Arabidopsis thaliana: one gene and its partner. The protein of the gene in region 1 interacts with the protein of each later gene in a pairwise test. Each region holds a gene or a part of one and is shown on either strand. Other genes may lie near its edges.

What was found.
Region 2: the proteins of CKB4 (region 1) and PYL10 interact in binary tests that used the Arabidopsis thaliana proteins (3 or more experiments, as listed by UniProt).

Annotation. Positions count from the first base shown.
Region 1 is NC_003071.7:18,425,896-18,430,603, reverse strand, and holds CKB4 (casein kinase II beta subunit 4), read left to right. Parts: upstream 1-2,206; 5' UTR 2,207-2,437; coding exon 2,438-2,660; intron 2,661-2,754; coding exon 2,755-2,973; intron 2,974-3,058; coding exon 3,059-3,168; intron 3,169-3,238; coding exon 3,239-3,404; coding exon of another isoform or gene 3,405-3,448; exon of another isoform or gene 3,449-3,572; coding exon 3,573-3,706; 3' UTR 3,707-4,123; downstream 4,124-4,708. Other genes in the region: ARAC9 (RAC-like 9), read right to left, coding at 1-69, 171-236, 332-396, 502-565, 666-775, 1,021-1,108, 1,194-1,328. UniProt on the Arabidopsis thaliana protein: Plays a complex role in regulating the basal catalytic activity of the alpha subunit.
Region 2 is NC_003075.7:13,899,215-13,902,768, forward strand, and holds PYL10 (PYR1-like 10), read left to right. Parts: upstream 1-1,927; 5' UTR 1,928-2,005; coding exon 2,006-2,128; intron 2,129-2,210; coding exon 2,211-2,429; intron 2,430-2,515; coding exon 2,516-2,725; 3' UTR 2,726-2,786; downstream 2,787-3,554. Other genes in the region: SDG16 (SET domain protein 16), read left to right, coding at 1-14, 100-159, 253-342, 432-518, 606-680, 762-862, 952-1,042. UniProt on the Arabidopsis thaliana protein: Receptor for abscisic acid (ABA) required for ABA-mediated responses such as stomatal closure and germination inhibition.

The DNA of each region.
Region 1 (4,708 bases):
TCGCTTCTTAGTCTTTGAAGGAGGATGTAAAACTACTTTGATCGCTTCATCAAACACGGCTTTTACGTTCTGCAAATTTAGCATCATCATAAGTCTTTCTTTATCAGATTGAGGTCCAAAATATTTGGTCTAATTGTAAAATGTAACTCAAGCATTAATGGTTACTTTACCATTTGTGCTTTTGAGCTGCACTCTATGTATGCTAATGCTCCTATTTCCTTTCTTAGTTCTTGACCCTATAAAAGAAGCAATCTTTGAGTTATAAAAGAGTTTGATTCTTAACATGGTTCTTGATCATATACATTGAAGAAGAATCTTTAAAAAAACATACCTGTTCTGGGAAGATTGTGCAAGCACCTGGATAATTCTTTGGGAACTGCATGTTGTCTCTTAGATCTGCAATATCAAGAAATTCATCTTATATACTACATAACATCACTTACACATTGATGTTAGATTCCTAACATTCAAGACATAACAGAGTGGTTCATTATCTTCAACCTGATTTGGTTCCCACAAGAACAATAGGCACAGTCGGGGCATAATGTCTCAGCTCGGGTACCCACTGCGAAAGAAAACCGATCCATATGCACATGAGATCAGTGTTGTAAAGTTAAATTACAGTGAAATTAAAAGTAAAAGGAAAGATAATCTCAAGTCTCAACCTTTTTAGCAATGTTCTCAAAGCTAGGCCTGCTAATAAGTGAGAAGGCAAGAATGAAAACATCTGCTCCTCTGTAACTCAATGGTCTAACCCTATTGTAGTCTTCTTGACCTGTAATATAATGTGAATCACCCAAAAGATATATAACACAAGAATCATAATTGGTCTCATTTAAGTTTTGAAGAAACATGAGCAAAATCTGATAGTGAATTCAAGAACCAAAACAATGTTGCATCAAAGATTCAAATTTTTCAACTGACTTCTTTTAAAAGGACCAAAAGATTAGACCTTGACATATTGTTGTAGATATAAAGCTAAAGACAAGAACAACTTTGACATTAGGTAAAAGCATTTACCAGCAGTATCCCAGAGACCCAGATTGACAGTTTTACCATCGACTAAAACATTAGCATTGAAATTGTCGAACACTGTTGGAACATAATCCTGTAATAACAAGATCTCAACAGTCACCAAAAGCTATCAAGAAAAGCAATCCAAAAGAGAGAGAGGGAGAGATGGATTTATATACAGTGGGGAACGTGTTGCTGGTGTAGGAAATAAGAAGACAAGTTTTGCCCACAGCTCCATCGCCAACAGTGACACACTTTATAAACGTTGTAGCTGTTGCTGATGATGTTGATGTTGCAGCCATTGAAGCTGACATTGATTGAGAAAATTCTCTGATTTTACTTACCCTGTTCTCTCTCTTTCTGTGGTTTTATTCTGGTTCAAGTGAAGAATGAGAATGAGACTTGAGTGGTAAAAAAGGAGTCAACTTTAATTTGAGCTGTCAGAGAGCCAAAACGCCTTAAAAATAATTTTTTATTCGGTGGGTTTGATTTCTTTCCTATTTTTTGAATTTAGATAGATTTTGCCATATTTTACTTCTTTCCAAAAAAACTCTAATTGGTAACACATAGCTGTACATAACTTTTATCTGTTAACTTTTTTTGAAATAGTATAAAATTACTAAAAAACAGTTATATTAAAAAAAATGTATAAAAAAGCTGAGAGAAAAATCTTTTAGTAACGCTTTTGATAAAAAAAATTATAATTGGTAGAAATGAAAGTTGTACAAATTATAGTGCTTTGTTTTTTTCACCAATCAATGCAAATGCAAAGGTCCAAATGTTTCAGCAAAATGAAAATAAGTGGTGGTTATATCAAATCAAATTTTGTAAATTCAGTTACATTTACATGACTAATTTTACAAGATGTGTAATTTTAATTATCTCTAGATCATTTGTTTTTTTTTTCGATTTAAGTTTGGACAATGGATCGACCACCAAACACATCATCATTAACAAAGATGGAAAGGCAAGTCCATTATTACTACCGTGTTGATACAAAAAAAAATGAATTTTATGATTTCTTTCTTCCTAAGATATAATTTGGAATCATAGTTTAAGTACAAAAAAATGTTTCCTTCTACGTGAATCTTTGTATTACAACTGTCAGTGTCATAAGGCCCATCCGAAAAGCCCATTTCTAAATACTAGAATTTTAAAAAATTAAACAATGATTAAAAAAAAAAAAAAAAACAAAGAGAAGAAAACAAAACAGTAGAGAATGAGAAAAAACCACAGGGAAAAGCAGAGCACTCTTTATCTCTTCTTCTCTCTTTCTTCTACTCTGTGATCAAACTATCGAAGAAAAAACAAACCCTAGATTTATCCGCCCCTCTTCTTCCTCTGATGATAAGAAAGTCGAAGACTTTGAGAATCTAAAGCTGAAAAATTTTGTTTTTTTTCATTGAGGGAATCGAATCGAGTTATGTACAAGGATCGGAGTGGAGGAGGAATAATGGGTGGTGGTGGATCATCGAGATCGGAGATCCTTGGTGGAGCTATTGATCGGAAACGAATCAATGATGCTTTAGACAAACATCTTAAGAAATCTTCACCTTCTACATCTAGGGTTTTCACTTCTAAGGACAAAGATTCTGTCCCTTCTACTTCAACTGCTAAATCTCAGCTTCATTCTCGTTCCCCCGATGGTTAATTGCTTATATCTCACTCAATTTCAATTTCATGTGGTTTTAGTACTTTCTGATTTGGGTATTAATAAATTTTGATTCTTTGTGGATGCAGTTGAATCTGACACGGATAGTGAAGGATCAGATGTGAGTGGTTCAGAAGGTGATGATACCTCTTGGATCTCATGGTTTTGTAATTTGAGAGGGAATGAGTTTTTCTGTGAAGTAGATGAAGATTATATACAAGATGATTTCAATCTCTGTGGTTTGAGTGGTCAAGTTCCTTACTATGATTATGCACTTGATCTCATTTTAGATGTTGAATCATCAAATGGTAAGTGAAGGGTCCATTTGATGAATTTAGGCTTTACTTTGTCTGAGAATTGTTGTATAATTTGGAGGAATGTTTATTGGATTAGGTGATATGTTTACTGAAGAACAGCATGAGATGGTGGAATCAGCTGCTGAGATGTTATATGGTCTTATTCATGTTCGTTATATTCTCACTACTAAAGGAATGGCTGCTATGGTAAGCAAGATACTTCTTCTACATCTTTGTTTCTGATTGATCTTTTGAATGATATCTTTCTCTTTTGTAGATGGAGAAGTATAAGAATTATGATTTCGGGAGATGCCCCAGAGTTTTCTGTTGCGGACAGTCTTGTCTTCCGGTTGGCCAATCTGATATCCCGAGGTCGAGCACTGTGAAGATATACTGCCCAAAATGCGAGGATATTTACTACCCGCGATCTAAATACCAAGGCAGTATCCTTTGCTCCTCTGTTCAAAAAAGCTTTATCTTGTCATAATATGATGCATCTGCTATTGTTTGGTTAAACATTGCGATTAGCTAGTTTGTTTGCATTAAATCTTTTAGAAGATAAAGAGTGTTGTCCACTTGTCTTAGTGTTCTTTCCTTAATGCTTATTGCAGACATTGATGGAGCTTACTTTGGAACTACTTTCCCTCATTTGTTTCTCATGGCCTATGGGAACATGAAACCGCAGAAGCCGGCTCAAAACTACGTTCCTAAGATCTTTGGCTTTAAGGTACACAACAAACAATGATACTCTCTCCTCTCAACAGTCTTGTGGTTGAATACAATCTCGGTGGCTAAACCACCATTCTTCTGATGGTCACGGGTTTGAAATGGATGATACTAAACTGCGTTTGGAGGATGAGAAGAGCTAATGAAGAAAGGTCGACACTTAAAAGTTTTTCACTATGTAATCTCAAAAGTTCTAAGTAGAATCTTCAACATAGAACCGTTCTTTGATGGGTCTTGGGAAATTCTTTACCTGTGAGTAATCAATTAAATCATTTACCAGATGGATGGATTTTGCTTTGCTTAACTGTTGTCTATAATTGCTGAAAATTTAGGGTGTATCCTACTTATCTTAAGTTTCTTGTGTTGTACGGAACTAATCTTCATTTTTCAATCACTATTAACCAAAACAAATCTGAAAACAAAAGATAGATGGAACAAGAACCTAATGAAAACCAGATTTTGACATTCTGTAATACAAAGATATAAACACTTGAAACTCGGTCTAGCTCTGGTAAAGTTACAGGTCAAGAAGACTACAATCATTGAGTTATACAGAGGAAGAGATGTTTTCTTTTTTGGTTCTGAATATCAAATTCTTCATAGAAAGTGGGAACTGTCAATGTCTTAACCTAATATATGGGATCTTGAGAAGCCCATTTAAGGCCCAAAAAAGCTGTCACTGTTACACATTTAAAAGATTCCCCGGAGTTCTTAGTTAGTTGCCTGCCGTAAAATGCATACCGCCAAGAGCAGTCGAACTGACTAATTTGTTCAATGCGAATAACTATAAAAGCCAACAAATCTTAACACCACCAGTTTGAATAAATTTTGTCGATTTCTAAGACACCATTACGATCACACGCAGATACAGAAATTGAATTTATATTTATTAAGAACATAGTTGTTATGCTCTGTTTATTATGGAACATCGAACAAAATTTCAACCCCAGATTACAAAACCATCACATCACACAGCCAAAATTATTAGCATCTTTCTTTCTCTCTGCCCCCAAAACTCCAC
Region 2 (3,554 bases), on another chromosome or scaffold:
TAAACACATTCAGAGTAAGAAAGTCTCCATGCAGTTCTTCTACTCCGTTTCTTACTATTATTTTTTGGATCTGACATTTCTGGGTTGTATTATGTGTAGCATGTGCCAGAAGAACCCAAATCGTTTTCTTCTTTCAGGGAACGACTTCACCACTTGCAGGCAAGAATTCTCTGATGTTTGAACGAGATTGGAATGTTCAGGTTTTATTTTTTGATATTATCGGCTGTAACATGTGTATGTTTAATGTAACAGAGGACAGAAATGGATCGGGTCTGCTTTGGGCGATCTGGAATTCATGGATGGGGTCTTTTTGCAAGAAGAAATATCCAAGAAGGAGAAATGGTATGTCAGCAGACCCATTTGTGATATTGTGTTTGGTCTATTTGGGATGAGGGGAGTGTTTATTGTCGAGAGGTGCTATTGTATTTCAGGTTCTTGAATACAGAGGGGAACAGGTGAGAGGTAGCATTGCAGACTTGAGAGAAGCACGTTATCGCAGAGTAGGAAAGGATTGCTATGTGAGTTGAAAAAGTTTCCATTTTATCTTCACAAATTGTCTCTTCTCTCTCTATCTCTCTTAACCAAAAGAAGGATTTATGTTGCAGCTTTTCAAGATCAGTGAAGAAGTAGTGGTTGATGCTACAGATAAAGGGAATATAGCTCGGCTCATCAATCATTCGGTAAGCTGCTTGGCATGGACTTTTTACGTACAAGAAATTTGACAGACTGTTAAAGCCTAAATCAAAATACGTGGTGTGTAGTGTACACCAAACTGCTATGCGAGGATTATGAGTGTAGGAGATGAGGAAAGCAGGATTGTCCTGATAGCCAAGGCCAATGTAGCTGTGGGAGAGGAGTTAACGTACACAACGCATTTCTATATATACCATTCTTCAATCTAAAGCTGATTGATTGTCATAGTTTAAGAAATGTTGTGTGGTGTTTTGGCAGGTATGATTACTTATTTGATCCAGACGAGGCAGAGGAACTCAAGGTGCCATGCTTATGTAAAGCCCCTAACTGCAGGAAATTCATGAATTAGAATAGAAAGGTATAGATCCTCTAAGTTTACTTCACAGGCTACAACACCAAGAAGAAAAGGCCAAAGCAAGATTGTCTCTTTTTGCTCCAAAAACAATAGATTTATAGGTAGAGAGAAAAGCTAAGTGATCCAAGTCTGATCTCTTCTGCCTCTCTGTATAGACAAACTCGTTTGTGTCACCATTATCCTCAAAAGAATTCAATTTCATTCATTTTGTTCATTTCAACGAGACTTGAGCAGAAAACTTGGGATAATTCCAACTGTTGTGACCGTTTTACCCTATAACCATCGGTTTACTACGGTTATACCGCGAAGGTGATGAGTCAATTCAATTGGGAATTGATTTTCCTTTCGCGCCGGTTTATGAATCGTGCTTTCGTCAAGTGCCATGTCAGACGAATTGTAGTTTGCTGCTGATAAAAGATCTCGTAATGGTTTTCTTAAAACACTTTTAAGCGTTTTTGACGGCCCAATTGATGCGAATATGGATTGACTCTTATCTATACTTCAGATATGTTCAAAGCCACACAAGGTAAATTGCATAACGGATAACAATTCCCATAAGAAAAAATGTTTCGGTGTCAAACTGTATATGAGCAATTCTGAAACATTCTAAAGATTTTGTGGTTATGTGTTAAACTTAAAGCATTTGATAGAGAGATATTTTTCAAAGAAATAGGAAAAAATAATGTTACAATCCTCCACATTAATGTTTACAATCCGTCCATCTGTACTTGACATGTCGGATCATAATCCAAGATAATGGGAATACAGATATAAGTTAAAAATGAATTCACTCATAGAAACTTGGAAGGCTATATTCGTCAATATAAAAGAGCATCCTTTAAATAGCTGCACACTGGTACAGTGGTTCTACTATTGAGTGAAAAAAAAAAAAAACTAAAGGCACGAATAATTTTTGTCTAATCAAAATTATTTAAATTGCTGCTATTTAAGATAACGATGAACGGTGACGAAACAAAGAAGGTGGAGAGCGAGTACATCAAGAAACACCATAGACACGAGCTTGTAGAGTCTCAATGTAGCTCTACGCTCGTTAAGCACATCAAAGCTCCTCTGCATCTCGTAAGCTTTGCTTTGCTCTGTTTTTCAAGTGTTAAAGATAACGATTTTTGAGATGTTAAATGATTTGTTTTGTTTGGAAAAGGTGTGGTCAATTGTGAGGAGATTCGATGAACCACAAAAATACAAACCATTTATCAGTAGGTGTGTGGTACAAGGTAAGAAGCTGGAGGTTGGTAGCGTAAGAGAAGTGGATTTGAAATCTGGATTACCAGCTACTAAAAGCACTGAGGTATTAGAGATTCTTGACGACAATGAGCATATTCTCGGCATCAGAATAGTTGGTGGTGATCATAGACTCAAGGTAAATTGAAATTTCCTTAAATGTACCATTCATTCCGACAAGATTATTGTTTTTTTTAGAGCTTAATTTGTTATTTGTCCAATCAGAATTATTCTTCAACCATTTCGTTACATTCGGAGACGATAGACGGAAAAACAGGGACATTGGCTATAGAATCGTTCGTGGTGGATGTGCCGGAAGGTAACACAAAGGAGGAGACATGCTTCTTCGTGGAGGCTTTGATTCAATGCAATCTCAATTCTTTAGCAGATGTTACCGAGCGTCTACAAGCAGAATCTATGGAGAAGAAGATATGAGATGTGACTTGAGAATCTTTTCATTCGGAAAAGAAGGAAAAAGACCAAAGAAGAGAAATAACTCTTCCCTTTTATAGCAATGTCTATGTTTTTTCTTCTTCTATTTCCATTTTCTGAATGTTTGTATATTATTGGAAGTTTGTAACGAAATGATTTCGAATAGCTGTCAAACGAGAAATATAAATTCAAATTTGTAAGTGTTTATATGAAATGCTTTTTTATTTTTAACATTTCCACATGAAAATATAAATAACATATCATGACACATGCAAAATCATATTTATGAAAGTTTTTTCAACTCTCTCCATTTTTTCGACATATCAGCATTAGATAGAGTGACACTTATCACATCAACATATGAATTACATTTCTTATTTAATTTAATGTATTTAAGAATTTATAATCATGCATTAATTCTTTCTAAATTTTTTGACATGTTTGAACTTATTAATTAAATAATTTCAATTTAATTAGGTACAAAGTATATCAAACTCACATAAATAACTTATTTAAATTAAATTATATAAATCGTATAAACTTATGTATAAACATAAAATTAATAGAATTTTAATGAACTTTTAGATTTGATTAAAGTATAAAAATTAAATAATATGATATAAGAATTTATTTCATGTTTTCATATACTAATATATATATATATATATATATATATAAAAGATTAATAACAATTGATATTAGTTAAATTTACGGTTTAGTTTAAGGTAAACCCAAGATGCTCTCATCTGGAATTCTGTTATGATCTGTACGTCCTCAAAGTTCCAGAGATGTTGAGAAAGATCAAACATCAGCAGCGTCAGAGGCTTTTTCT